4 linked regions of the Notamacropus eugenii genome follow. The protein of the gene in region 3 interacts with the protein of the main gene of each other region in a pairwise test. Links are inferred from orthologs where the notes say so. Each region holds a gene or a part of one and is shown on either strand. Other genes may lie near its edges. The genes, in order: OSTF1, EVL, HTT and ING5.

Region 1 (7,780 bases), on a different chromosome or scaffold from region 3:
ATAAGACTTGCTTCGATATTTTGATGGATTGATGACTGGATGGATCTTTTCACTGTGGGTGCTCCCTTCATTGAAGTAGATCCCAGCCCCTACACAGCTTCTCATCCTGGATGACTCTTATCCATGTCCTCCCAAAAATTCTCCACAAGGAGACATATCAAAGGCCTTCCTCTTGGTCTCTTGATGCTGCACAGATACCAATGGCGCAGTAGTTAGTTACTGTCCTCACCATGTATACCTTCTTTTTCAGTCACGTATATCTCTGATGGCAGCAATGGAGGTACCTTGCGATCTATTTACACTCAGCATGGGCCTCCTCATAGCCTTCTGGGTGACCTGCAGTTTGAATTTTCAGAGACTATATGTGGTATTCCATGACTTGTAGTCACATTGTACCATCAGAAAAATATTGGGGTATTAGCTCACATCTATCAGAAATTACAAATGCTGGAGGAGATGAGGGAAAAATAGGTACGCTAATGGAAGTGCTGGTGGAATAATAAGGTGGTCCAACCATTCTGGACAACAATTTGGAACTATGTCCAAATGGCTATAAAATTGTCCATTTTCTTTGACCCAATAATACCACTCCTGGGCCTGTATTCCAACGAGAAGAAAAAAAGGAAAAGGAACTATATGTACAAAAATATTTATGGTAGTTCCTTTGGTGGTAGTAAAGAATTGGAAATGGAGGGGATGCCCATCAATTGGGGAATTGCTGAACAAGTCGTGTCATATGACTACGATAATATAATTATGCTATAAGAAATGATGAGGAAGATGATTTCAGAAAGACATGGGAAGAACTATATGAACAGATGAAAAGTGAAGTGGGATGAAGTTGGAGATCACTGGGCACAATAACACCAATGTAGTAATGATGATCAGCTGTGAAAGACTTGGTACTCTGACCAATACAATGTTAAAAGATAATTCCAAAGGACTTATGATGAAAAAATGCCATCCGCTTCTAGAGAGACAACCAATGAACTATGAGTACAAATTGAAGTATAACTTTCTCCGCTTATTTTTCTTGCTTTTTTTTTTTTAAAAAAAATAGGGCTAACATAGAAATATGTTTTACATGACTTCACATGTATAATTGATATGATATTACTTACCTTCTTAGTGGATGTGGGAGGATATGAGCAGGAGAAAATTTGGAACTCAGAATTTAAAAAGAAATACAATTAAAATGTTAAAAAAAGGAAGGAGAGACAAGGGATGATAGTGGGGATGGATGGATCTAGTGACAGTTTTTTGATAATAGGGTAATATGAACATGTATATAAGCAGGCAGTAAACAGGCAGAGAATGAAGACAAATGAGGCAATTGGTATGATAGAGGAAGCAATCTGCTACAGAAGATGGGATGAAATGGGATCACTTGCACACCTAAAATTAGCCTTGCCAAGCGGAAGGGACACCTCTTCATATGAGACAGGAGTGAAGGAAGAGATAGTGGCAGAAAGCATCGAGGTGATATGGCATGAAGAGAAAAAAAGTGAGCTTTCAGCAAATATTTTTTAGAAAAATTTTTCGGTGAAAGATAAGTGAAGGCTTTCAGCTGAAAGAGTGGGGGATGATGGAACCTTGGGAGGTTGGAAAAGGTTTAGAAAATAAGTTGTGGTGAGTATCTCATATTCTTTATATTTTTCACATCCCCTAGCACAATATCTTAAAAATAGATGGCACTGAAAAAATACCTTTTCATGCTTCATTCTTCAGTATATCAAAGAGAGTTCAACCTCTCATGAGTGATTCCACGGTTTTATTACTGTAATAATCAATTTGTTTCTTCCCTATGTCTAATCACAATCTTCGTCATTTTCCTGTAAGTCAATTTCCACTTGTTTTGTCTTCCAAAGATGTGGAAAATACCTGCTTAGCCTTCCTATGTTGAAAAAACAAAGCAAAACCCCATGCTTCTATCACAGCCACATCTTAGCTTTGCCCTTCTCTAGACTAAAACAATACCAATTGTTTTAAACTGTACTGTTAAGACCTATTTGCCATTCTAATTATCCTTGTTACTATTATTATGTCCTGCTTCAGTTTCTCCACATCCCATTTGAAGTATATTTATAAAAAGTTTATAAGGTTGTTCTAAACTCAGCATATAGTGAAAGCATGATTCTAGTTGGCATTTTTCACAACAGCAGGCCACTGCTCACTCATACTCAATTTGCGGTAAAATTTAACCTCAGCCCTCTACTTGCCACAGGTCCACTCTCCCTCCCCCCATTTTTTGCCTGTTTGGTCATTCCCCGTCCTCTGTTTGCATGGGTGTCACAGGATATCTTTAATATATTTTCAATTCATGCAAAGTACAACTGTATTAATATTCATATTGGATGATTATTTGTTAATTTAATAAAAAATAATATTGGAGTAAAAATAACAGGCTTTTTTTTTTCTGAGAGAAGTTCAGGGTCATCAAAGGCACTACACAATTTTTCCAAAGGTAATCTACCATATTTCCTTCCCTCTACTCAGTTCTAGGCCTGGCTCATTAACAAATCCCAGTTTTTGGCCAAGGTATATGTAATGATGAGGGGCAGCTAGGGGTGCAGTGGAAAGAGCACCAGTGCAGGAGTCAGGAGGACCTAAGTCTTACCTCATACACTTGACACTCAGTAGTTGTGTGACCATGGGCAAGTCACTTAACCCCAATTGCCTCATCCTGGGTCATCTCCAGTCATCCTGCTGAATATCTGGTCACTGGTTTCAGATGGCTCTGGAGGAGAAGTGAGGTTGATGACCTGCATAGCCTTCCCTCACTCAAAACAAAGTCAAGTGCAAGTCATGTCATCATCTCTCTGAAGGCATGGTCTTCTTTGGCAACGAAAGACTAACACACACAATGTAACGATGAGGGAGGTGGGATCTCCAGTTCTCCTGTATCTTGTATCTGTATCTTGCCACTGGATCCAGATGGCTTTGGAAGAGAAAGTGAGGCTGGTGATCTTGCACAGCCCTCACTCACTTAAACCCTATTCACTTGCAAGTTACGGCATCACCTTCCTAATGTCATGGTCCTCTTCAAGAATGAAGCAGACAACAACAATGGAACAACAATGTAACAATGATGGATCAGCAATATGGACTGGCCATCTAACTAGATGACTTCTACCGAACAACAGGTGTGCTTCATCCACTTTTTTTAACTGTAAACCCAAGCTTCAGAAGGGATTATGGATCTTGTTGGGGTGGGGGAGGAGCACTGCAAAATGCTGCAAGGCTTGATGCACTCAGCAGAATGTTACCTGCAAATGGGTGACTTTGAGAAGACTTCTTCATCTGTAGGGCACGGCTTTTTTCATTGGGACACTGTACTACATGATACTGGCAAATACCTTGGGTGAGAATGTCTGCCTCTTTTCTGACCTGCTTGATATTAATCTGATTTAGTGCTTCTGTTGTTAGGTGTTTCAAGGAATTTTGTACAAACTGTATTTATGTATACAAGAGCTTCACTGGAGCAGTTTTCAAAGTGAAATTTTGCTTTTTTCTCCCCTCTATTTGTCAAATAACAAGCACATTGGGATCTTTTATTTTCCATGGTATATTCAGTCAAATGTGACTGTACAGATGCAGTTTGCTGTAGAATTTGGAAAAGCCTGTAACCTCCTCATACCTTCAACAAGGATGTTTCCAGTTCATCTGAAGATTATATTCATGAAAATTTTGTAGAGACAGGAAAGAAAGCATACCAGTTAGTAGTTACCGATAGTCTACATTTTGGGAGGTAATAATAATATAATGGAAAGGAGACTGACTCTGGAGTCAGAGGACTTGGGGGAAAATTGTACCTCTGATGCTCATTACTTAAGTGACCTTGGGCAAGTCAGTTTCCTCCTACTCAAAATCAAAAGGCTGGACCAAATTGCCTCTAAGTTACTTTCAGTTCTAAATTTATGAGCCTTAGACGTTTAAAAGTCACAGAAGCAATCTAGTCCAACTCATAGTTGAAAAGTAAACCTCTCCACAACAGAAACACACTATATATATATATATATAATATAAAACCAGTTGCTGGAAGGGGTCCAGCGAGGAGCTTATAAGCTTATTAGCAACAGAACCAGCCCAACTCCTAGGTAGCTTATATTATTAGGAAGTTTCCCCCACCCCTACCATCAGGTCTTACATAAGAAGGCCAGGTAATCATTTATTTTACAGAGGGGGTGGTGGTGACAGAAGAAGAGAACCTTGATCTCGTTTGTTTGGGAAGAAACCACGCCATGTGGAAATTCCCTCCACCAATGAAGTGGCTGGTCATTGTAGGTAATTTGCACTTCGCAGAGTTGCTTAGTCACCAAGAGGCTGAAAGACTTGCCCACGAGGTGTAAAAGACAGGACTCGAACCCAGGTCTTTCTGCCTCCTCTATTCCCCACGTCAGGCGGCAGCTCTCCTGGTGGAATGTTCATGGTGACAACAACCTTCTCCTCGAAAAAGTGCGACCTGAGGCACCCCTAAAAGGGGGAGGCGCGGTGGCCAAGCGAGCACCTGGGTGAAGACCCCGCAGGCGCAGCGCCGCACCGATCAGGTACTCACCTGGCAGGTAGTCCCGGGCGGGCACCACTTCGCCACCGGTCCCCCAGAGCGTACGAGCAGCTTTCAGGGCAGACCGTCAGCGCGGGTGATCAGCTCAGACCCTCGACACCAAAGCCGGGGGGCTCCGGCACTTTCCCGGGGCGGCCGCGAGGCACGCAGGCCGCAGGCAGCGCGCAGTCCAGTCCCGTCGGCTGACCCTCCGCTCCGGCTCCGGCCTGGGGGCGGGGCCCCAGCTCGGGTTCCGCGCCCGCTCAGAGGTGGGGCGCGCCGCCCGTGCCCGCGCTCGCCCGCGCGCTCCCTCCCGGGCCCGTTCCGTCCCGCCTGGGCTCGGCTTGGGGCTGGGCTGCCTCCGCCGCCTCTGCCGCCGCCGCCGCTTCCGCATCCCTGCTGCGTGCATGAGCCGCTGCAGCCGCTGGAGCACTCGGGGCCCGCGAGCCAATTAGCGTTTGCTGAGGTAGCCTTCACTTCCTCGTTGAGCGAGCGCTCGGGACGCTGAGCACCGCTTGGAGGAAGCCCCCCTTCCAGTCTTCTTCCCCTTCGAGGAGGGGTGGGCTGGGCAGGAGAGAGCGGCCGAGGAGCCGGACTCAGACTTGTACTTGGTCTTCTCCCTCCCCGGCCTTTCGGATTCGCCGCCCCGGCTGGAGAGATGTCCAAGCCGCCCCCTAAGCCCGTCAAGCCAGGTAAGGGAGGGGCTCCACCCGGGTGCCAGGCTGCCCTGCTTCCCTGCGCTGCCGCCGAGCCCTCTTCTCTTTACAGAGCGAACCAGTTTGGAGGGTGATCGATGACTTTTAAGTTCAAGAAATGACAGGATTGTTTTTGATGACAAGAGTTTTGAGATCTGGGGGTGAGCGCACGCACTGGCAGCTCTGCAGCGTTCCTGGGGGGATGTCTGTAACATAAAGTCAATCGCTTGATTATACCTTTAAAAAAATTCTCCAAACGACTTTTAAAGATACTTCCCTTTTTTTGGGGGGGGGGGGGGGAGTTGTATCCTTGTCAAGAGTCAAGACGGACCCAAAAGTGGGAAGTGCATGGGTGGGTGGGGTGAGGTGAGGTAAGTATATGAAGTCCTGCGGGACGTCTCCGGAAGGAAGAGCAAATGCACTCCATTGATCTCGGCTTCATTTTTGGAAAGCCTGTAGTCAGCTCCAGCGGCCTAATGCTTCAGGGCCGGAAGGATTCCGGCAGCCCTGGCCATTGCGGCTCCAAGCTGTCACTTTTATACATACGCCATCAAGGCTTCGGGGTGAATATGGGCGGCGGGGGCGAGGGGGAAGCGGAGCCTGCCCTCCCGAGTGGAGAGAAGCCTCCGAAAGCACCCTGGCAGATAGTCCTTATTCATTAGTAAACTTTTATCCTCTCTACCGAAGGGTTCTGTGCGCTTGGGAGAGAGGAAGGAAAGGGACAGCTGATTTCTGAATCCAGTGTGTTTCAGTAGGATACTGATGAATGATGGAGTAAGTCGGAATTCCGAAATCGGGGGATTTGCTGAACTTTAATAAAAGCATCTTCAAAGTTCAGAATACATGTTTTCTATTGTTGTTCAGGAATGTCAAGGATTTGGTTTTATTCTGTACATCCTTCGTTATTGTATTTTTTCCCTAAATTTATAGTGTTTTCAAACATAGTATAATTTTCCTCCTTTAAAAAAATGGGAAATAAGAGTACCGTAAATCCCTTTTATTTGAAAAAAAAAAATTACTACCCTTGTGATGTTATTGGTGAATGCCAGTACTCCCAGTAAGGAGATTCCGTTGACCAGTGTATTGGCAGTTTCTCTGAAATTTTTAGTCTCTGTCACTGAGAGGTTGAATGATTTGCCCAGGGTCACACAGTATGTCTGTGACAAATGAACCATTGTCTTGGAGCCCCTTCCCCTGCTAAGCTGCTAAGCCAGGCTGCTCTCTTCTCAAAATTATTGGTTGCTTTTTTTTTTTTTTGCAAGTTTCTTGAGATTTAAATTTGCATAGACCCTACTAAATCTTAACCCTGTGCTTCCTGGTGTATGGAGGCCTTGCAGGCTATGTATATGTCCTATTATGGTCTACCATGTTGGAAATGCTTTGCATGTGATTTTGGCAACGGATTCTGAGTCAGGTTGTTGTCCCAGGATCAGCCTACTTCAGACACAGGCTCAGCACCAGATAATGATATTTTTTTGGGCATGGCAACTCCCAAGCAGCATCCACATAGGCAGTGGGGGGACTGAGGCATCAGAGGGGTGATGACACTGATGAATTCCTAAAACTGTGAAGTAGTTCTTGATAGGAAAGCCATACCAAAAGAAGAGTGATCGTAGACTTTATTATTTTGACCAAAGACTGGGTGTGAATAATAACATTTTTATGTTTTGATTTCAAGTTTTCTGTTTTCTGAAAATGCTTTCAAAGCATTTGCTCATGACAATCCTGTAAGCTAGGGTAGAACAAGTACTATTATAATTATACCCATTTTATGGATGAATTAACTCTGGTTGAATCGGTTTGGTGACTTGCTCGGGGTCATATATATGGTGTCATGACTCCCAGTTCCCCCATCTTTTCAATTATCCCACATTATCTCTTAAGAGTGAAACAGTGGGACTTGAAAGTGTTTTAGACAAGAGATCAAATTTTGCCATTGGATATTTGATTTTTATTTGCCAGGAGAAAGCAACTTATCAAATGAAAATAATGTCTTATTCTTTGGCACTCAATTATTTAAAAAAAAAAAAAGTCCTGGAAATCGATCAAATGGTCTTCTGGATCTAGAGACAGTTTAAGTAATGTCTGTGATGATGTCTGTTCCTTCTCTATGAGTCAGAAAAAAAAAGGCTGTTGCATTTTTTTTTTCAAATTTGCTTAATGGATTATTATCATGGTACAGGATCTATCAGTCACTTAGCCTCTTTTTCTATGAAAGATTAGGAATCTCTAGTTCTTAAACTTGAGTCATTGTACTCATTCACATGGACACTATTTGTCTACTACCATTAAGCCCCACTAACATGGATCACTATTTCATTGTCTTGCTTTCTGTTCCCAGTGCTACTGGACTATTGCAATAGACTCCTAAATGGTCTGCCTCGTTTGCTGTGCTCTCTAATCCCTCTTTCACACTTACTAAAGTTAGTGTCTTAAAGCACAACTCGGATCATTTTGTTATACCCCTGTTTAAAAGTATCAAGTAACTCCTTCATACACTTTTACAGTTAGACAGTTCATGCACCTTGGGTGCTACGTTTTT
Region 2 (7,192 bases), on a different chromosome or scaffold from region 3:
AGCTTAGTAGAACTCAGAGTTCATCTAATATGATCCATCACCCAAATCCTCTCTATACAATCCCCGACAAGCACTTGAAGAGCTTTTGCAGTGATGAGAAACCCACTATCTCGAGAAGCAGCCCATCCTACATTTGTATTCCTCTAATTGTTCAGAGGGTTTGAAGGACTATCATTTGGAGGAGGGACTTGTTCTGGTTGGCCCCAGAAAGCAGGAGCAGTGGGTGGAAATAGCAGATTTAGGTTTGAATTGGGGGTTGGGGGAGGAAAAAAACCCTCTGAACAATTAGAGTAATACAGTCCCTTCTCACACCAATGTCTTTTGTCCTGCCTCTGTCTTCTCAAGGCTAAGCACGCTAGCTCCTTCAGTTAAGATTCATTCAGATTGATTTTGGCCTCTTTCTTCTTACTGGTAGCCCTCCCAATCTCAAACCAATCAACATTGTTTCTCAAATGGGTTGCCTAGAACCGAGCACAATTCTCCAGGTGTAGTCTGATCAGGGCAGAGTGTGTAGAGAACTATTTCCCCAGTTCTGGGCACTAGGACTAAATCCACTTTATTGCCAGGACCTTTAAGAGTGGAAACAGGTTTGAATACTACATTATATGCATCCCTTCCCACCCTCCTCCATCCCCCAGCCAGTATGGTATAATGGAAAAACTCTAGGTTTAAAGTCAAAGGATCTGGGTTTGAATCTCCACTCCACCATTTATTCGCTATTTCCTGTCCCTGATAGTCATTATCTGTGTAACCTTGGGCAACAAGTTAGACTCGAACTAGGTGGAGTTAAACTAGATGATCTCAAAAGATTCTTTCAAGTTCTAAAGTGACTAAAAAAGTGTCCCTAAGTGCCTAGCACAATGCCTATTACACAGTAGGTATTTTAATAAATATCTGTCAAATGAGTTCCTGTTATCATTGAATGGACTGTGGTTAACAATGCTCTGGCAACTGCAGTTACACAGCATTCTAACGGATTCCAGGAACACCCCTTCACTCAGGCCAAAGAAACCTGCTGGCAAGTGTGAAATGCCACCAGTCCTCATTTCTACCATTGCTTACAGAAAATAGTCCTTGAAGTATAAGACCAGAGTTTCCTCACCATCTATGACCTCTTTCTACCCATAAGAATAAGCCTTTCCAATTTCTAACTTTAAGGAGCAAGCCTCTTAAACACAACACAAACTGAAATCCTTGAATCTTAAGAGCCAAGTTTATGGAAAGACATCTATAGCCCAACCTTGTAACTCATTTTCCTTGTCTGTATGAAAAGGGTTCCTCCCTCTTTCATTCATTCCCTCCCTCACTCTTATAATTATTATATCTACTAAGGTGGTTGTTTTGTGATTATTTTAAATAAGGGGATAGGGTTGTAGCATTTTGGGAAATCAGATAAGGGTTTTGTGATGATGGCTGTAAAGCCGTCAAGGAGACCCTGTAGATTGGAAACAAGGGACTTGGATTCATCTTAACTTTGCCATTTCCTGGGTGTACACCCTTAGATAAATTACTTAAACTCATTGAACCTCAGTTTCCACATCTGTCAAATGAGGTAATAGATCAGATAATCTCTAAGGTCCTTCCATCTCGGTCATCCTTTCTTCTATGGTTCCATCGTCCCTGCTTGCACTGTCATTCCATGGTCTATGATTCTAAGGTCCCTTTCTTGCTCTGACATTTCATATTGTGATTCCAAGGTCCCTTCTTATTCCAACATTCCATGTTCTATGATTCCAAGTTTTCTTCCAGTTCTGACATCCTGAGTCACTAGTCTTTCCAGCTGTTTTAATGGTTTGGCTTAGTATAAAAATAAAAAGTAAATCATTCTCAGAAAACCAGAGGCTAGTAGAGGTCAGGAATCCCAGCAAACACACTCCTTCATAAGCTCACAAGAGGTGGCACATAACATAGAATCCATCTGTTTGCCTTTTCAGCCCTACCCTCCTTAATTTTCATTTCGCCCAAACTACCCTTCCCACACTGATACTCAGAGATGGGTTCTCTGAGGAAAGAGGGGGCAAGTCAGCCTCACAAAAGATGCTAATTTGGAACATTAAGAACTGCAGCAGCAGCTGAACCGCTTACAAACAGCAAAGAGAAAGCCTGCTTAGGGAAACCCTTCCAACAGGCTTCACCCAGAGCTCCCCAGCCAGGAGATTATTATTAAAAATAACAAACATCTGATGAAGTCAAAGCCAAATCTCAGCTCTGCAGACTTGCCAAAATTCTCCGGCTTCAGCTACCACCATTAACATTCTTCTCATCCCCCACCTCCCCACTTTATTTATTTATTTTTGAAAGGAGCATCATTCTCTCCTGGGTTTGACAAAGGGTGGACCGATGTTGGGCTGCTTGGTATTCAGAGCCCTACACCGGCATCCAGGTGGATCTTAATCAATTCGTGCAACGGAAAAATCAGTTATCTGGCTATCACTTCAGCCTTCACTCAGCATCCTTTCCCTGGATCCCGGGCTTTCCATCTCCACCCGCACCCCCCAACCCTAATCTCCCCAAACCAAATCTCCCTCTAACCCGCCAACAAATACCGAAGTCAGCCCTGCTAGCAAGCAGCAGCAGCGGCCAGATCCCAGAGTGTCATTACACAGCAAACAAGAAGAAAGAAAGAAAAGAAAAGAAAAGACAGACAGAAAGACAAAACACCCAGTAAGCTCAGAACAAAAAGCCAGGCTCGGGCTGATGCAGGGAAGCGGGAGCCTACCTGAATTCTTCAAATGCAAACATGGCCTAGTCAGAGGCAGCTTCCTTGGGATCCACGGAAATCTCCCTGGCACGGAGGAAAACCATTTAGTTAGCGAGGCGGGCTGGCGGCGGCGCGGGTGTGGGAGCGCGAGCAGGAGGCTGGCGTTCTGCAACGTAGGGCCGGGAAAGGTTTTCTGCAGACACACTGGCCTGCGGCCTCGGGCTCCGCCAGCTGCTGACAAGGAGCAGCTAACGGGGAAGGCAGGAAGAAAACCATGTGATCAGCTCAGCAATTCTGATGAATGCAGCACCCTGGGAGCTGCCTTCTTCCACAGCGGTGGCAGGCAGGTTCTGGGCAGGACCCGACTGGGCCACGCGCTCAATCGCAGATCGATGGGTTTCAGCACCACACCTCCCCCTCCAGGGTTGGCATCTCCAAGGGAGGTGGGGGTTGGGGGAGTCCAGAGAGAGAGAAGGAGAAGCCAGCCTTTGTCACTGTCATCTGCTGGGCTAATTGGGGGAATCCAGCCGCAGCTTTCTGGTCTTATTGGGGTAGTGTGGCTAGCCATGGTAGTGGGGGCTGTTTTCACTAGGAGCGGCTACGGACATCCAGCCCGACTTGGAAAAAATCCTCAGAAATCTGGTGCTTCTGCAGAGAGCTGGTCATGTTCCTTCTCTGCTCTTAAACCTTCACTGTCTACCCCCTGTCCCCCAAGTTCAAGACCCTTTCCCTAGGACTCAGCATCCTTTGCAATCTGGCACCACCCGGATGGCGGGAGTTCCAATTTTGCCTCAGAAGTGAATGAGCTGAATTTGCTGTGAGTCTGCACTAGTCTGCGCCTTCTCTGAATCTCAGTTTCCTCGTCTTTAGAATGAGAGGTTTGGACTCAATGGCCTTCCCTTTCCAATCTTTCCTCACCTCTCTCTCCTTCAGCTCAATTGTGCTCTCTGCTCGGAATATTCGCTACGTCTCATTCCATCACTGAATCCCTACTCATCTTTTTAAGTTCAAGAAAAGGCATGGAGGAATAAGAGCACACATGTTGAGAAATGATTGTGTGTACACGTGTGTTTGTGTGATTTTAAGATTCCTCTCAGATCTGACACTCAATGTTTCTATGATCAAGTAGGTATAATTGGATAAGGTCATGGAAAATTCTCCAGAGCCAAATTTCACCATTACTAGTGATGATGATGATAGCCCCACCCCCCCAAAAAGGAAAGAAAAAACTTAGTAAACTTAGAACAAAAACCTAGGCTCAGATGCTAGAGGAAAGCAGGAGTGTACCTGAATTCTTCAAATGCAAACATAGCCTACTAGGAGGCAGTTTCCCTTGGCAATCACATAAAGAATTTTAAATGTCATTTTGAGTTTTGTTTCTTACACCTTTCTTGCTGTCCAACCGCTAAACAAAACCAAAAGCCACTCTGAATGTTGTTTCAGGGTAAAAGAAGATTGGGAAATTTGTTAAAATGTGAATATTTACAAAAAGTCTAATTTTTCAAGAGCATATGGCCTTGAGTTGAGACTTTATTCCGAGCCTCCTGATTGGCCAGGTAATTTCATTAGTATAATCACTAGGTCTAATATCCTAGGAGAGGCAAGTAGGTAGCTCAGTGGATAGAGAACTGGAGTTAGGAAGACCTGAATTCAAATCCAGCCTCGATGTGTGACCCTGGGCAAATCACTTAATCTCTGATTGCCTTACAAAATGGATCCATTGAAAAAGGGAATGGTAGATAAACCACTCCAGTATCTTTACCAAGAAACCCCAAATGGAGTCATAAAGAGTTGGAAACAACTGAACAACACAGTAACATCCTAAGAGAAAATTCAAATGCCAAGAATTAGTGGGAAAATGGGGGGGGGGGGAAGGGAGGGGAATGACATAGTTAGTCAGAAGCAGAGCTGACACTAGTTTTTGACTCCTAAACCAACATTCGTTTTGCTACTCTACCCTTCTTTTCCTCCCAACTCCGCCCTATTCCGGAGTCTCTCACAAACTCACTGCATGACCTCAGATAAGCTGCTACTAGGGGAGATCACAGAATCATTGATTTGGAGTTAGAATGGCCCTTGGGGATCTCCTTGTCTCTCCTCTCATTTTACAGATGTGAATTCTCAGGTGCTGAGAAGTCAGGTAATTTGCCCAAGATCACATAGGTACTAAAGTGACACAAGGTGGAATCCAAACTTGGGTCATTGAACCTTAAATCCATCACTCTTTCTCTAGCACCACTTGGGTCAGAGTAAGAACTTCAAATCTCAAGTTGTCAACCAGCGTTTTCCATGTCCTCCTGGAAAATATACTTTGATGAGGGGTGACCAAGTCTGACCTCCAATGGGGTAGCCATAACATCTGCTTCCATTAGATTGTATGACCTAGTCTAGAAGACAAAAGATTAAGTTTTTATCTCGCCTCTTTTTCTGGGTAGTTTTATGACCTTTGGCAGATTTGGGAGGGTGTGATAGAAGTATGTGAGATGTGCAGCACTTAATTTTTTGTGCCTCAGTTTCCTCTTTTGTAAAATTGGAATATTTAGGAAGTCTGTGGAGGAGACTTCATTCCATGATACTACTACTTAACTCTAACTGGTATAATTAGATTCATTTCCCCAATCCACCTGTTGTCAGATGAATCATTATAGAAACATGATGGAAATAACAAGCAGGGACTGAACCAGAGGCAACATCGATATCTATGGCTAAAAGCCCAGGAGAGAGGGCAAAAGCATCATAGAATGGGAAGGCTCTGGGGCAAGGTGGTTTGAACATAATACAGAACTGGGTACTATTCTATTTGATCTGGGAGACACAGGGGAAGAATCAATTTTTCAGCACCAATTAATCAATTTATTAAGAGCCTACTATGTGCCAGGTACTGTACTAAGTGCCAGGGATACAAAAAGAAGCAAAAGACAATTCTTGACCTCAAGGAACTTACAATCTAATGTGGGATACCACATGAAAACAAATATATACTGAAGAGTTGAAATTTCCTCCCATTCTTTTTTCAAATAATTTCTAGGACTGAAATAAGTAAAATATAAATAAAAACCAGGTCTAAAAGGTAGCAGTTCGCTCAGACAGCTAACAATCTGTGTGAAAAATGTAGAAAACCGTGATGATTTTGATCGTGTCTTCAAATATAAGAGGGGTCATCATGGGGAAGAGGGCCTATACTTATTCTGTATTATTCCATAAAACCAATGTTGTTCAGTTGCTTTCAGTCGTGTCCAACTCTTCATGACCTCCTTTGGGGTTTTCTTGACAAAGATACTGGAGAGGTTTGCCATTTCCTTCTCCAGCTCATTTTACAAATGAGGAACTGAGGCAAACAGGGTTAAGTGACTTGCCCAGGGTCTCACAGCTAATAAGCGTCTGAAGATGTCTTCCTGACTTCAGGCCCAACACTCTATCCACTGCAACACCTAGCTACAGAACTAGGACCAATGAGCAGCAAATTGGAGGAAGGGAGATTTCAAATAAAGAGGAGAACAAAAAACCTGCCTAATAATTCTAGCTGCCCCACAATGTGATGAGCTTCCTCAAGAGGCAGAGGTTCCTTATCACAGGAGATGTTTAAAAGGAGGTCAAGTGGACACTTGGTGGTGATGTGTGGCATCACTGGGCTGTATAACCTTTAAGATTCCTTTGAACTAGAAGATGCTATGATTCTTAAAGTCTAAGTTCAAGTTGAAGTGTATAAGGAATACATTAGCCTGTCTGAGAAACTAATCAAAGAAGCCCAGAAATCCCTGTCAGAGAAGCTGAGTTACTCTGTAAATATAAGACCTATAGTTACAACCCAAAACCCCTTTGCCTCCCCCTCCTCTGCCTCCTCTTTCTCCCAATCTGAATTAGCACCAGTCCATAGGTTCAGGCTTCTCAATCACTTCCCCTAGTGTTTATTCTGGTTTATTTTATTAGACTTACCTAAGAACTGGTCAAAACTCACCAGGCTTTACTGTTATGGAAGAGGGTGCCCTAGGTGGGGTGCCCTATTCCAACCAAGAGCCCAGATCTGTCCTGTTTCTATAATTCTCCCTGACTATCCTTTATTTTGTAAGCATGTCTGTTCAATAAAGATGTTTGCTTTATTGTCTTCTTGGGAGCTTCTTGTTCCCATCTACTGGGTCTGGGTATCACAAACTTTCCTGTATCTGTATTGACAAGGTGCCACCTCATCCATGAAGTCTTTCCTGATCCTTCCAGCTGAAAAGGATCTTTGTCTCCCCCAATTTGTTTAAGAGCATTATGTCTGCATATCTGCCCTACTGCTTATCATACTTGACCTTGTATCATACTTATTTGCAAGCATGGCTTATCTCCTCTCCCCACTTTAAATTAGGAGTTTCTAATGGGCATGGGCCATCACCAGTTTTCTTGATTTATGTCTTGCCTTTCTAGAGGAGAAAGTGAGGCTGGTGACTTTGCACAGCCCTGCTTCACTTAAATCGAAATCACTTTTAAGTCAAGACATCACCCTCC
Region 3 (7,256 bases):
CTATAATATAAAGCTAGACTGATAGTCCATCAACATGTACAACTTGAACACTTAATTAAAATAAAAAACCGAGCCCAGATTGAACATGAGGAGATTGGGCTAGCTCACATTTAGACACTAATGTGTGCCTCTTAGTTGCACATTCCAAACTGCATATTGCCACAAATATCCATCTCTTTTAAGGACAGACATGATAAGTCATGTCTATAAATCATGATATGCCAAAATCTTGGAAGAATCAAATTATAAGTAACCCTAATAGCACTGGAAAGATTCATGATGGGTATAAAAAAAAACAATGGCATATTACTAGCAATGACATGAATATGAAAAGTAGAGCTTAAAACTCTGAGGTTCTACCTCACATAAATAAGATTAGCAAAAATAGCAACAAATGAAAATGGCAATTATTGGTCAGGTTATGGGAGATCAGGCACACTATGGACTGTTGATGGAACTGTAAAGTGATCCAAGTACTCTGGGAAATAATCTGGAACTGTATTTTAAATACCACTAGTGAGTGTGTGTGTGTGTGTGTGAGAGAGAGAGAGAGAGAGAGAGAGAGAGAGAGAGAGAGAGAGAGAGAGTGTGTGTGTGTGTGTACATCCTTTCACCCAGCAATAGCACTATTAGGCATATATCCTAAACAGGTCGAAGACAGAAAGGAAAAGATTCGCAAGGACAAATAATCATAGCAACACTTTTTCTTGTAGCAAAAAACTGGAAACAAAGTGGGTACACAGAAGAAAACAAAGCTCTGAAGGGGATACAAGCTGGGCAATTGCTAATTATTAAATTAAATATATTCTATCTTTCAAAGCAAATTGCCCATAATGGATATTCCCCTTCATATGCAAACCTTTTTTTTTGTACATTGAAATGTTTTGTGTCTGTGGGAAAATAATTTTATAGTAAAAATAAACTTTTAATTTAAATGGTGTTTTAAGTTAGCATCAGTGACTAGGACAAAAAAGTGGGCCAGTTGTATAGCCAAACTGACAGACCAAAGATGAATAATTCCCCTGCTCCCCCAGTATCCTTTGATACAAAAGAACCAGAGTCAAGTTCCTAGTACATTGGACAGATTTTCTAAGAGGGATTTATGTGAAGACACACAAGAATTTACAGGATGAAAAGACATGAGAGGTTTTGCCTGGTACTGGTGGAGAATGAAGTCACACCTATGGACATTTGGGTCCAACAAAGTAGCTAAAGTAATTTTCCATAATTATTTTTTCGTGAATTATTTTCTTACTATTTATAACAATATTATTACAAAGGTATAATACTATATTCAGGCCAATGTTCACTGACACCATCTTTAACCTTACTGATAAAAACAGGCAAAACTTCACATCAAGTTCTCAGCTTTCATGGTGGCCTATGTATTTCAGTTTCAATTAAGTAAATTCTCAAGAAAACAGAGCAGCAGACAACTAGGCAAACAGTCTATAAAAGGATGACATCTGTGACCAGTTTTATTTATTTTCTTCCTCCATGTGTTGTCTTCCCCTGTCAGAATGTGAGCTCTTTGAGAACCGGGATTGTAGCTTTTCTATCCGCAACCCCGGTGCTTGGAAGATAGTAAGCACTGAAACGCTTTTTCATTGCTTCAAATTGACATGTTTCTGTAACGTGCATCTCAGAATTATCGTACGTGCCAAGTCCAAGCAAGTTACAAACAACATCGGGAAAGTATATTCAAGATTATCTTCCTAGTCTTGTAACAATTTAACTACTGTCTCCAGAAGCATTTTTCTTTCCAAGAGAAAAAAATGGACTTCAGGAAAATTTTCCCAATACTTTCACTATTACCATCTCTCGTTTATTCAAAATTAAAATTCCTGAACTAAGAGTAAGTTCATCTCATTTTTACTATTATGTACTACAACCTATTCAAACTCTTACAGACCAGCATGGAAAGTGAGAAGTTGGGACCCTTCGTTATTGTCATCATCATGGTGACCCTGACTAGAATTTAACGCTCTACACAACTTAGTAACGAAGCCAAAACTCTCAGGTCCAGAAGAGCCACCCCCGGGGCTCGGCTCTAGCGGACGTCCCGGGCCCCACCCTCCGCCCCCGCCAGGACCCAGGTCTTGGGCTGTCAGAAACCCAGGGCGGGGACCACAACTTCCAGACTTCACTCCAATTCCTGAACCTTCCTTCCCCCCGAACTTAGAGAAGTGACGGGAACCCAGCAGAGAGCCCACGGGAGAGGGGAGGAGGAGGGGGGGAAGAGGAGGAGGGGGAGGGGGAAGAGGGAGGGAGAGGGGAGGGGGAGGAGGGGGAGGGGGAGGACGGCCGGAGGGGGAGGGGGAGGACGGCCGGAGGGGGTCGTCTCAGGTCTTCGAGGAAACGAGCGCGAGAAGCGGGTCCGCTTCCCAGCAGGGGAGCAAGCGCAGGGAGCCCCGGGTCTCCCGACGCTGGGGGGAAGGATGAGGGGACCCCCGGCTCCCTTCCTCGAGGCGCGCACCACGGGCCCCCTCAGCCGGGGGAGGAGACGCCAAGCTGGGGACAAGCTGAGGGGGCCCCCCGACGTCCCCCCTGGGTCTGGGAGGAGACCGGACGTCTAGTGCCCAGGAAAGAAGGGGGTGGGGCGAGACCCCCTCCCTCAAGCCGGGGAGGTGACAGGCTGAGGGGTGCCCTCGGGGCCAGGACCACAGGTGCTCCGGCCGCCAGCCCCCCGGAGCCCCACCCCCAGGCCCCGTTTCTCGGGGGCACCGGGGATCCCGGGAGGGGCCGGGGCGCCGCGCTCTCCCCGCCCGGCCGGCGCCAGCCACTCACGGTCGGTGCGCCGGCTCCTCCCCCCCGGACGGCCCGGGCTGCGGCGGCGGCGGCTGCTGGGGCGGCTGCTGCGGCGGCTGCTGGGGCGGCTGCTGCGGCGGCTGCTGGGGCGGCTGCGCCTGGGACGGCTGCGGAGGCTGCGCCGGCGCCGGCGGCTGCTGCTGCTGCTGGAAGGACTTGAGGGATTCGAATGCCTTCATCAGCTTCTCCAGGGTGGCCATGGCGGCCAGTCAGCGGGAGGCCCCGCGGCTCCCGGCGCCAGCCCAGGGCCCGGCGTGGCCCCCTGCGCCCTCCCCGGCGGCCCCCGGCCTCTCCCGCGTCTCCGCGGCCCCGCTCAGCAGCCGGGAAATGAATGGAACGCTTGGCAAAGACCCGAGACGGCGCCGAGCGCCGCCGCCATCTTGGAACTGTCCCGGCAGCCCCCGCGACGGGAAGCGGCCCTCAGCGCGGGGTTGAGCTGGGAGGAGACACTGACGCTGACGAGAGGGGGCACCGCGGGAGTGACAGCGAGGCAGAAACTGCGGCCGCCAATCAGAGGCGAGAGGCGGGCCTAGGCCCCGCCCACCTCCTACGGGGCGGGGCCCCACTGTAGCGCTGGCGGCTGCCGACGTAGGATGAACGTGGTTCTGGTACATTGAGAGGGGTTAAGAGATGCCCGAGGAAAGAGGGACTCTCTGCATTCCTCGGTCTCTGGAAGAAACTCAGCCGAACCTGTCCGAGAGTCGGCCTCATCCTCAGAGAGCTGCAAAGCCACACAACAATCCCATGAGGAAACGAGTACGGAAGGGGAAATTGAGGCTCAACAAGTAGAATTGGCCCTGGGCTAAGTGTTGAAGGTTGAATTTGAACCCAGGTCCTCTGAGGCGGGATTCAGCGTGTTAGCCACTAATATCGTCCCAACCTACAACAGAGCCTCCCCCACCCCCACTACCAGTCAAAAAGTTCTTCCCCATGTCTAACCTCCTTCCTTTTGTTTTGGAAGCAGCCTGATTCGACTCAAAAAGCAAGGCTTGCCTTCTTGCCAGGCCATGTATCAACACAGTTCATCCACACAGGTCCCTTTTCCCCGAGAAACTCACTGCCTAGCCTGGAGATGAGACAGGATAAAATCCAGGGTAGCTTGCTTTGTGTGCCAATTCTCCGTACCTCCTGTATATGCTGTCCTGTGCCTAGCTTGTTCGTACATATTGGATTGCTTGGGGTCCACACCACCCACCACCGTTAGATTGTAATTGCTCTGGAGAGCAGAGACTGTCTTTGCCCTTCTTGTATCCCCGGTGCCCAGCAGGAAGGGGACGCCTTATAATTTATTGAATGCTGCTGGTGTATTATTTTATTGGGGAGGGGGTGGCATAGAGAGGGTTAAAAGCTTCAACAACAGGAATTCCTATAGGAGCTAGCAGTATGTGCTCTCTACCCCCACCCCCCATCTCTTAATGGGGAGTTCTTAATGGGGCAGTGCCGAAGTTGGGAGGTGCACAGGAAATGATAAGAGGGGTACATGGGTTTATCCCAACCTCAGAAATGAAGGCAGATAGTGTGAGGAGGCAACTAATACCTTCCCTCTGAGGCAGGAAGGAGGTTTAAGGCATTCACCCTGTCTGAGCTAGGCACAAGGATGAGGGGACCCTCTCTGGAGAAGGAGCATGGAGGTAATTCACAACTGTCTAAGCAGCCCCTTGAACCAGATCTCGGAGCCAATGAGAAGAGGCACCGAAGAAACTGACAAGTAATCTGACTCTGGCAGAGTAATTAACAACAGGGGATAGAGGGATCATCCCAGAATCTGGAAAACTGCCAGACATCTGCTTCCATGGACAAGTCACTCAGCCTTTCTGAGTCTGTTTCCTCTTAGCTCCCAGGGCTATTCCAAACCTCAGAGGAGATGATATTATAAAAAACACTTCTCAAACTTTAAAGTAGCATACAGATGTAACTTATCACAGGGATGATAGAAGGTGGCCAGGGCCAAGAGGAACTTGGGAACTCGGAGGGAAGTAAAGGGGCAGCAGAAGCCATGAAGTGTCTTTTCCCCTGCTAAGAGGAAGTAGACTTTCAGCAAAGACAGCTGATCATACAGAGATTCAGAGAACTGCAGCTTTGTCATAAATGATAGTCTAAGAGGAGAGGCGCTGACCCAAAATATGACCCAGACATGATACAAGGCAACCTCCTTTTGCAGCCTAATGAAACCTGTGGACCCCTTCTCAGAATCATGTTTTTAAATGTATAAATTAAAATACATAGGATTACCAAGGAAACAAATTGTTCGTGAATCCCAAATTAGGAACCCTATCCCTGTCTTACACTTGAATTACATTGGCACTCCCAATTACATTTTAATCTGGTTTGAGCTGCACTTGAGAGTGGCCCAGTATTTGACTCCTTTGTCCTACAGCACTCTTATCAAACTTAACTATAAGGATCATATATATATATTCATATGTATGTAACTTAATTTTGAAATATAATATTGTCTATTTTTTTTTTTGCATTTTCATTTATTTTGTTAAATATTTCCCAACTGCATTTTAATCTGGTTCATACTGGTCCCTGTGTTTAATACCTCTGTCTTAGAACATGAATTCCCTTGGGGAGAATGTTTTTCTTTTCCCCCTCTGGCCCTTGAACTCATGAGAGACTCCTTGTTTGTTTTGAGGAACTCTCTACATAGTTTTGCTTGGTATCTGCTATGTGCGTGTGTTTCATTTAAATACTTTACTATTTGACTTGGGCTTCCTGCCTGGACTCTGCACTGAATGGGGATTTGAGCTGTACTTTTTCCACACAGTAACCCAAGGGATGAGGGTGTGGGTTCCAGAGTCCAGTAGGAAATCCATTCAAGTAGTCTAGCAAAAAGAGCTCTAGATTTCGATTCCCAGGACCTTTGTTTTAAACTTTGCACTCTGATACTTTGCCAACTATGTTACATCTCTGAGCCTTGTTTTATTCATCTACAGAAGGGAGATAATTATACTTGTACTTAATAGAATTGTCATGAGGAGAACAGTTTTTATCCTTTAAATGCTTTCTTAAACCCTAAAGCCCTGGATAAATGGAATTTATTATTTTTAAATGGTTATTTACTTATTTGTCCACAGAGTCCTCATCACAGCACAGAGGAGACCCTAGCAACACCTCAAAAGCCAACACCATTGGAACACAACCTCTGGTAGATCCTACAGATATGGAAAGGATAAAAAGTACAGGCCCAGTGATAGAATTAATGTCTCATGACTGAAGGTTTAGCCTCCTGGAGTTATTTTTTTTTAATCACAGTCCCTCATGAATAATGTGGAGGAATTTTGATCTTAATCTGGGAAGAGATAAAATCATGGGCCCCTGAAGTATTATTGTCTTCTCCCATTTCTAAATTCCCGTCCTACCAGGCCTTTATATCTTCCCATACACCTAATACAGGGCTCTGTACTTAGATTTAGAACTAGACTGGACTTCAGAGGTAATCTAGTCCAACTCTCTCCTTTCACAGAGAAGGAAAACGAGATTCAGAGAAGCAAGGAAATAAGTATTTATTAAACGCCTACTATATGCCAGGCACGGAACTAAGCATGTCATTAATATTATCTCATTTGGCTCTCATAACAACCCTGGGAGGTAGGTGTTATTATTGTCCCCATTTTACAGAAGAAAAAACTGAGGCAAAAGAAGTTAAGTGACTTACCCAGAGTCACAGAGCTCCAAAGTGCCCGAGGCTGGATTTGAATTCAAGTCTTTCTGATTCCAAATCCAATGCTGTATCCAGTAGAACCACTGAAGTCACCAGTAGTAATCATAGTAACTAAAATTTATATAATGCTTACTATGTGCTAATTATGATAAACGCTTTATAATTATTATTTCATTGGATCCTTACAACAACCCTGGGAGGTCAGTGTTATTACAAGCCCCATTTTACAGATGATGGAACTGAGGCACATAGGGTGAAGTGACTTGCCCAGAGTCATACTGGTAAGCGTCTGAGGCCACATTTGAACTCAGATCTTCCAGACACCAGGCCCAGTGTTCTAGCCACCATACCACGTAGGTAGTAATGGAAGAGCTAGGATCTGAACCCAGAACCCCTAACTCCAAATCTAGGGCATTTTTTTTCACTGTAACACTGTCTCCGTTCAGTGTACTTTCCATTAATAATTAGCTAGCATACATCCACTATTAGCTCTTAGCAAGGGCATTTGGTAAGGTAGATGTAGCTACAGAACATTGGCTCCATAAACATGGTACATTCTCCCACAAGTAGACAGTGTTCATGTGAAGAGTGGATTCAAACTTAGAGAACAATGGTGGTGAAGCCCACCTCTAGATCCAGGTGCGACAAAGTCAATTCACCACCCCTAGTACCAAAGGACCTGGAAGCCCTTTCTCTCATCATAGAGACCTCCTATAGCTTTTCTTGGTGCTCAGGTAGGTTCCCAGGGTCTGCTCCTCTTCACAGGTCACTTCATTTGCCA
Region 4 (7,677 bases), about 330 Mb from region 3:
ATCCAACCATCTATTTATCTAGTATTTGAGGCTGGTCTACTAAAGAAAAGAATAACTTTATTTGAAATCTCTTTGATAAGGGAATAAAGAATACTTAAGATAGAAAAAGTAAGAACAGTCTCAGCATCAGTCCCTCCCTCTTCCAGTTATTTCCAAATGATAGCTCAGATCTCCTTCTAGGGTCTTTGTGGCCAGACTCTTAGAGTAGGGCATTAGAATGCTTGTAATGAAAAAAGGAGGCTAGGTTTGTACTACATTCCATCTGTCTTTCTGAGCCTTCAAGAATGAAATTAAGGATGGAATTGAGCTAAACAGCTGAATTGGGCCACTACACTAAACCTGGGGAGGATGATAGCAATAGTAGTAATCATTGCCATTTTTATGGCATTGTAAGGAGATCAAAGTGCTTTAATGATGTCTGATCTCAGTCAACAAGCATTTATTAGATACCTACTATATGTCAGCCACTGTGCTAAGTGCTTCACAGACACTGTCTTATTTGATTATCTCAATGACCCTGTGAAGTAGGTGCCATCCACACTTTACAGTTGAGTAAACTGAGGCAGATGTTAAGTGACTTGCATAAGATCACACAGAGTTGGAGGCTGGATTTGAACTTGGTTCTTCATGATTTCAGGATCAGTGCTCTATTCACTGTGCTATCTAGCTGCCTGGGTCTATTATACCCTCATTAAAAAAACAAACCAAACCAACTCTCCTCTGATGAGTCTTCAGGTAGCTCTCATGCAGAGCTGAATTTTTCCAGTTATCCACTGAGTGGCACCATCAAGTCTAGTCTCCAGGAAATGAGAAAGGGCTTCATGAGCCCTGACACCCTAGAGAGTGGTGGTGAGTTCTCTTCAATCCTCAGGGCAGCCTTCTGAGCTCAGAAGCCCTTCGGGGAGGATCGGAGAGGAGCAGCCAGCCACTTTCCTCAAGTCACATGGCTCCCATGTGGCAGAGGGGATCTGACCCTTTCTGCTAAGTCAGCTCAAAGACCCAGGTGATGTGAGCTCCTTTGGGGCAAAGAGTCACTGTTGTTTCCTCAGCACTTAGAACATTTCCTGACACACAGTAGGAGCTTTGTGAATGCTTGTTGATTCACTAAGCAACAAGTTAGGTGAGGACAGTGTGCATGATCTGCACTGGGAGTGGTCTCTGCCAGCAGGAATTAGAATCCATTAAACCAATGTTGTGGGGAGGATGCCATCTTTGGATTTGGATGATTTGGGTTCAAACTTTGGCTCTGTCCCTTCTACCTGTGCAAGCTTGGGCAAGTCTTTCAGCCTCAGCTTCCTCATCTGTAAAATGAGAGAGTTGTCCAAGACAGTTGCTAACCTTTCAGCTTTTAGTCTGTGATCCCCAGGACAATCCTTCAGGACTCCTGGGAGTAAACTGGTCAGCTACTGCAGGGGAGTAAGGCCCCTGGGCTAGCACTTACTGTGGTAAGTACTGGGGAAACAAATAAGAAAAAGACAGTTCCTGCCATCAAGGGGCTTCCAGGCTCATGGAGGAAACATCACACAAGAGGAAGCTCTGCTTCGTGGAAAGGAAACCAAGGGAAGCCCTGAGGGAAAAGGAAGCGGCCTGCAGCTCTGAGCCCTCTGCAGAAGCCAGCTTGGGAAGATCCACCCTCCACCTGCCAATCAGAGGGAACTTGGGGCCCTCCAGGCTGCCCTTTCCATCACCCTTGCTCTGGGGCAGCAGATGGAGCACTGGTCCTGGAGTCAGCCTCAGACTGACTACTTGTGTGACCCTGGGCAAGTCACTTCACTTCTATTTGCTTCAATTACTCCTCTGTAAAATGGGGGCACACTGTAGAAGGACATGGCCAACCCCCACAGTACCCTTGCCAAAAAAGTGCATGGGGTCACACAGTTGGACACAACTGGACCACACCACCCCTTGTGTGTATAGGTAATGAAGCCCTGTCTATAATGAACCTAGGGTGCCTAAGTCTCAGTGCATGAGAAGGCAGAAACATTCCCTTCCAAGCTGACATTTGCGGTAGCAGCCCCATCCTCCAGACTGAAATGTGTGAAACCCCAGAGGGTGAGGGAGCGGGGGACCTTCCCCTCTCTCTGTTGAGAAAAGACACAGCTACATGCTAGGAGCTGCCACCTTGGCATACAAGCAGACCTAAGGAAAGCTGCTGAATGATGTTAGAAATGCTTCTGTTGAGATCGACTTTTCTGATGTCCCTTTCCGAATGCTTCCACAGATACCACTATTGTCTTCCTGCTGCTTTGCTTGACTTCTTAGCCAGCTCTGCTCTGTCTCCCACAGAGACAGTGACTGTTATGGGCAGGGGAGGGAGCTGTTCTAGGGTCCCTTCATTCAGGGAAAGCCTGGATAAAAGGGTATCACAGACTTACACCAAAGGCCTTTGGTAAAGGTGGGAGTCATTCTGATCTGATGCCAGAAAAAGGATGGAGGGTACAAGTAGAGGGCCTTGGCCAATTCTTGATCAGAGATTAAAGCAGAGAGGAGAGCAGAGGTTGCCAGGGAGCAGATCTGAGGTGTGGAGTATGGGAGGGGAGGGTCTTCACAATGGGTGACGTTTTCTCAGTAAAGTAGGAGCTGAGGTCTGTTGAGAGGGGCTTGGGAAGGTTGGCAGAGGAGGAATGAGGAGAGAGGAAGGTTCAAGTAGCCACTGTGGAGAGAATGACAGATAATCCGGGAAGAGCTAAAGGGTCCCAGGGTGGCAGCAAAGGCCTAGTGGATATCTGATAATGAATTTTTTGGTAATCCAGCTGCCACGGCTGCCTGACCCTCTCTAGCGGCATTCAGCAGTGCCTGAGGAAGCTCAGTGGCCATAATTGAGGAGACCTGGACCATTGAGGTTGGATTTATCAACCTTTGGGTCGTGTCTATGAAGGGAGGCCATGGCAGGGGTGAGGGATTGGGAGAACCGAGAAAAAAGGGGCTGGGAGAGGTAGTAGCTGCAGACAGGAACTGACTTCTGAATCCTGATCCTGACACCCCCAACCCAACCAACGGCCACCAATGGCCAGATAAGCCTGTGAGCCCCAGGCATGGCAGGACCATCCAAACCCACCAATTCTGCTCACAGGTATCTGACTCTACAGGAGCTGCACCCCTGAGCCCCTGCAGCTACTGAAGACCCGCATCCTCAGCAGCGCCAGCCTGTCTGAAACCAGAAAGAGGTACAGCTTTATCAGTGGCAATGGCACCAACAAGGCCCAGTGGAGGGCCATGGGACCTTTCCATCCGACCTGACGCTGAAACCCCCTACCAGCGTCTGTGCTCGCCCAGGAGAGCGCGGGCTGGGAGGCTTTTCTCTCTCCGTGCCCAGGGCTTTGCCCCTTCTGCTTCCTTCAGAAAGGTTCATTCGTTCATGTGCGAAGTGGGTGAAGCAGGACATGAGCATCTCGGTGTATCAGGGAGAGGAGGGAAGGCGGTAACGGCCACTTATGTCAGGTTCTTCGGCTTGTGCAGCATCTGACCCTCACGGTTACCGTGGGAAGCGGGCCTCAGTGCCCCCACTGCTGCAGAAGCGGGGAAGTGACTTGGGCAAGGTCACCCGGCTATTAAGCGTTTGAGGAGGGACCTCACCTCCAGGGCTCCATCCACCGGACCACACTGCCTCCCTTCGGGGCACCCCAAGAGAGGAGGGGCCAGGCCCCCAACTCCTGGGGAGGACCAGCGGATGAGCCGGCGGAGCTCTGGCCAGGGCCACGCATCAGTCAGGCAGCACCTGGGAAGCGTCTGCTGCGGGCCTGGCGGGCCGGGCCGGGCGTGGCGGACCCAAGGCCGAGGGAGCGAGCGGGCTAGGACCTCCAGAAACTTGCATTCTGGTGGGGGAAAAGGGGCATGTGTGCGTGTGCGCACGTGTGTGTATGTGTGAGTGTATGTGCACGTGTGTACGTGTGCATGTGTGCGCTGTGTGCACATGTACTGAGCGTGCGTGTGCGCACGTGTGTGTATGTGTGAGTGTATGTGCGTGTGTGTGCACGTATGTATGTACGTGTGCATGTGCGCGCCTGTGCGTGCTGTGTGCACATGTACTGAGCGTGCGTGTGTGCACGCGTGTGTATGTGTGAGTGTATGTGCGTGTGTGTGCACGTATGTATGTGTGCATGTGCGCGCGCCTGTGTGTGCTGGTGCACGTGTACTGAGCGTGCGTGTGCGCACGTGTGCATGTGCGTGCGGTGTGCGTGTGCACTGGCAGGACAAACCGCAAAGCCGCACACGTGCGGAGCCGTCACACCCACACGAGGCTCCCGCTCCGGAGCGGGAGGGGGCGCAGGGGGCTGGCCCGGGAGCCCCCCGGAGGCAAGACCGGAGCCGGACTGAGCCGGACTAAGCCGGACCCTCTCCTCTCCGCTCTCCCCGGGACAACCTCCCGGGGGCGCTGCGTGGAGCCCCTCCTGTGCGCGGGGCGGGGTCGGCCCGGGCTCTCCGGGTTTCCCCTCCTCCCCGCGGCCCGGGCACGTGCAGCCCACCGGGCTGGCGGGCTGGCTCCGGCCCGGCCCCCGCCCGGGGCAGGCGGGCAGGCGGGCAGGCTTCGCCGGCTCCGCTCCGCTCCTGCCCGGAGCCCGCGCGCCCCTCCCGGGCCATGCTCGCGCGCCGCCGGGCGCCGCCTGCCGAGGGGCGGGGCCCGCCCTGCGCTGAGCGCCCTGGCCAATCAGCGGGCGCCCCTCATGAATAGGGAATGAGGCAGCGGCGGCCCCACAGTGAGGCCGCCCCGCCCCCTCGCTCTCGCGCCCGCGCGCTCGCTCACTCCCACCCTCGCCCACACACGCGCCGCCGGGGCCGCAGGACGAAGATGGCGACCGCCATGTACTTGGAGCACTACCTGGACAGTGAGTCGGCTCGCCGCCGGGGCCGGGGCCGGGGTCGGGGCCGGGAGCGCCGTGCCTGGCGCCGCTGGGGCCTCGCGGGGCCTCGCGGCGGGGGCAGCGGCCGGGGTTCGGGAGGGCGGGGGTGCTCGCGAGGAAGGGTGGCCCGGAGCGGGAGGGGGTCCGGGGGGAGGGGCGGGGACGGGGGCGGCCGCGGGGGCGCGCGCGAGGGGAGGGGCGGCCGCGGGGGCGCGCGCACGGGAGGCGGGAGGGCGGGCTCGGCGGGAATTAAGAGGTGCGTCACCGTCCCGCGAGGGGAGGGAGGGCGAGCGAGCGAGGGGGGAGGGCGGGGCGAGGTGACGTAAGGCGGGGGCGGAGCCGCAGCCACCATGGCGACCTAGGCCACTCCGGCGGCGTCACTGCCCGCGGGACACGCCCCCTCGCTGCCTCCACCAGCTCGCCCCGCCCCCCGGCGGTTCCTGGCGCCCCCTGGCGAGCGAGGAGCGCACGTCGAGCCTAGAACGCTGGCGAGAGCGCGAGAAAGGTTGTTCCATGGATCTGGAGCTGGGGACCGGGAATGCTAGGTCCATGGATCTAGAACTAGGAGGCGAGCCCCTTTGATGAATCTGGAGCTGGGACAACGTTCTAGGTCGGTGGATCTAGAGCTGGAGCCGTGTGCTAGGTCCATGGATCCAGAGCCAGGGGACTGTTTTGGGCTCCCGGAGAGACCTAGAATGCAGGGAGCTCGGAGGGAGCTGGGGCGCCATCCCGGGCTCCCGATTCTCAGCTTGGATTCCCAGGCGGGAGCTCGCGTTGTGGAGAGGCCGGACGGCGTCCGAGCGCGTGGGGACAGCCTGGCGCCTCCGCCGCCCTGGTTCCAGGCCCATTCTGGGGGGGTCTAGACCAGCCTTCCTCCCCCCTCAGTCTGGAGCTTCCTGGCTCCTTGGGGACGCACCCGAGGAGCCCCCACTGCCCCCACACCCTCCTGTGGCCTCGCCAGGAACTCCCAGGCCGCACCCTCGTGCCCCCTTGGGTGCCCCCGGGCCGCGCCCCCGTGCCCCCTTGGGTGCCCCCGGGCCGCGCCCCCGTGCCCCCTTGGGTGCCCCCGGGCCGCGCCCCCGTGCCCCCTGGGTGCCCCCGTGCCGCGCCCCCGTGCCCCCTTGGGTGCCCCCGGGCCGCGCCCCCCGTGCCCCCTTGGGTGCCCCCGGGCCGCGCCCCCATGCCCCCTTGGGTGCCCGGTAGATGGCTGCCTCCGGGGCTTGTGTGCTTGCCGACTCACAGGCTGGGTGATGTCTCCTCCTCACATGGTCATCTGACCGTGGGGGTGTCTGTGCTGGCATAACTAGAAAGCAGCAGGACCAGGGGAGAGCCCAGGAGTTGGAGTTGGACCACCTTGGCCAGTCACTCCTCCTCCCTAAAAGGAGGAGCTAGGCTAGATGCCCTCTGATACGCCCCAGTGCCATTGCTTCTAAACTTGTTAACAGTATACCATTTCCTCAGTCAGCTAATTTCAAGTCATTTTTAACTTGGAAGAAATCATGTAAAACCCTTAGCACAGTGCTTGAGGCACAGTAGCATGCTTAATAAATGCTTATTTCCACCCCACTCTCACCCCTACCTTCCCTCTCACATGAAGTGAACAGCCCTTGGGCAGGTGCTTACTGTGTTATAAAGGGGAAGACCAAGGGGTTTCTTTGCCTTTGTACCCTCTGCTCTCAGCCTTGAGCTCCTCCTTCTTGTCTGAAGCAGGACCTGTTGGGGGTGGAGCCCAGCCACTGCTGCCAGTCTCTTGGGAATGGCACTGCAGGAGCACCTGGCTCGAAAGGGCTGTGGAGAGAAGGACAGAGGAGCGGGCCGCCTTAAGAAAGCTTCCGTTCTGTCACTCCCCCTCCTCTATAGGAGGAGGGATGGGATTGTATAGTCCCAATCATCTATAAGATGAGGGATCCTAAGGCCTTTTCCAGTCCTGAAGTGGCTGTGATTGCCTGGCACAGAGAGAGGATCCGATTCCAGTTCAGTCAGTTTGCCTCAGGAGGGTCTGGCACATGGAAGAAACAGGACCACCTGCAGTTTGCTTACAACCGGCTTGTTTGGGGAAATGATGCATTATTGGAAAAGAGAGTGTATGTGTAGAGCTCTCGGTCCCTCCTTCATGGTTATGGCACCTGTGGCTTTGTCCATGTTGTGGGTATTTCCTTCACCAAAGCACTGCACCTCCTCTCTCACTTAGTCCTCAGGAGTTCCTGGGGTTCCCCTGTAGCCAGCCTGATGATGAGCCTCTGGACTGAACTAAGTCTTTGGACATCACTCAGAGAGCTCCCAGTTTGACCCCAGGTGATGGATGCCTCACGAGCAGCAGTGAGTGCAGATTAGTACTCTCAGAAAGGAACTGGGCTTCATTGATGGGGAAGGGGAGGGATGGCACCAGAGGAGCGGCCTGAGCTTTCTCTGCTTTCTAGACGACAGAACTCTCTGGGTCTCTTTGGTTCCCCCTTTCATTCCCTTCACTCTCATGTCCTCCGTTTTTCCATGTCTATAAACCATTGACATCTGGAGTGCCTTTGTGATGAGGATCCCCAGCACACACGTGCTTGTTCATTGGAGAACTTGGGGGGAATGTTCCTTGTCCCCTAGAGTATTCATGATGGCAAATGGAATGGATCAGGAGCGGTATTCTAGTACTGCCTTTGCTCCCTTCCACAGGCATTTCAGATGTAGTTCTTTTTGGCATGATGAGACTCCCCTTGAGTAATTCAGTTCTTTTAATGTTTCCAGTTTGCCTCTAGCTCTCTCGTCAGGTGCTTTCTTGTCCTCATCTCATTGATCTCTCATTCCTATTCTCTGTCCCTTTTCCCTCTTTTTTACATTCTGAGCA

The links.
Region 1: the proteins of HTT (region 3) and OSTF1 interact in binary tests that used the Homo sapiens proteins (3 or more experiments, as listed by UniProt). The link is inferred for Notamacropus eugenii from reciprocal best matches to the Homo sapiens genes HTT and OSTF1.
Region 2: the proteins of HTT (region 3) and EVL interact in binary tests that used the Homo sapiens proteins (3 or more experiments, as listed by UniProt). The link is inferred for Notamacropus eugenii from reciprocal best matches to the Homo sapiens genes HTT and EVL.
Region 4: the proteins of HTT (region 3) and ING5 interact in binary tests that used the Homo sapiens proteins (3 or more experiments, as listed by UniProt). The link is inferred for Notamacropus eugenii from reciprocal best matches to the Homo sapiens genes HTT and ING5.

What each region holds. Positions count from the first base shown.
Region 1 is NC_092874.1:374,995,489-375,003,268, forward strand, and holds the start of OSTF1 (osteoclast-stimulating factor 1), read left to right. Parts: upstream 1-4,770; 5' UTR 4,771-5,201; coding exon 5,202-5,235; intron 5,236-7,780.
Region 2 is NC_092872.1:355,478,116-355,485,307, forward strand, and holds the start of EVL (ena/VASP-like protein), read right to left. Parts: upstream 3,004-7,192; 5' UTR 2,743-3,003; coding exon 2,720-2,742; intron 1-2,719. UniProt on the Homo sapiens protein: Ena/VASP proteins are actin-associated proteins involved in a range of processes dependent on cytoskeleton remodeling and cell polarity such as axon guidance and lamellipodial and filopodial dynamics in migrating cells.
Region 3 is NC_092877.1:53,267,165-53,274,420, reverse strand, and holds the start of HTT (huntingtin), read right to left. Parts: upstream 3,021-7,256; 5' UTR 3,009-3,020; coding exon 2,788-3,008; intron 1-2,787.
Region 4 is NC_092877.1:378,732,302-378,739,978, forward strand, and holds the start of ING5 (inhibitor of growth protein 5), read left to right. Parts: upstream 1-4,677; 5' UTR 4,678-4,789; coding exon 4,790-4,826; intron 4,827-7,677. UniProt on the Homo sapiens protein: Component of the HBO1 complex, which specifically mediates acetylation of histone H3 at 'Lys-14' (H3K14ac) and, to a lower extent, acetylation of histone H4. Component of the MOZ/MORF complex which has a histone H3 acetyltransferase activity.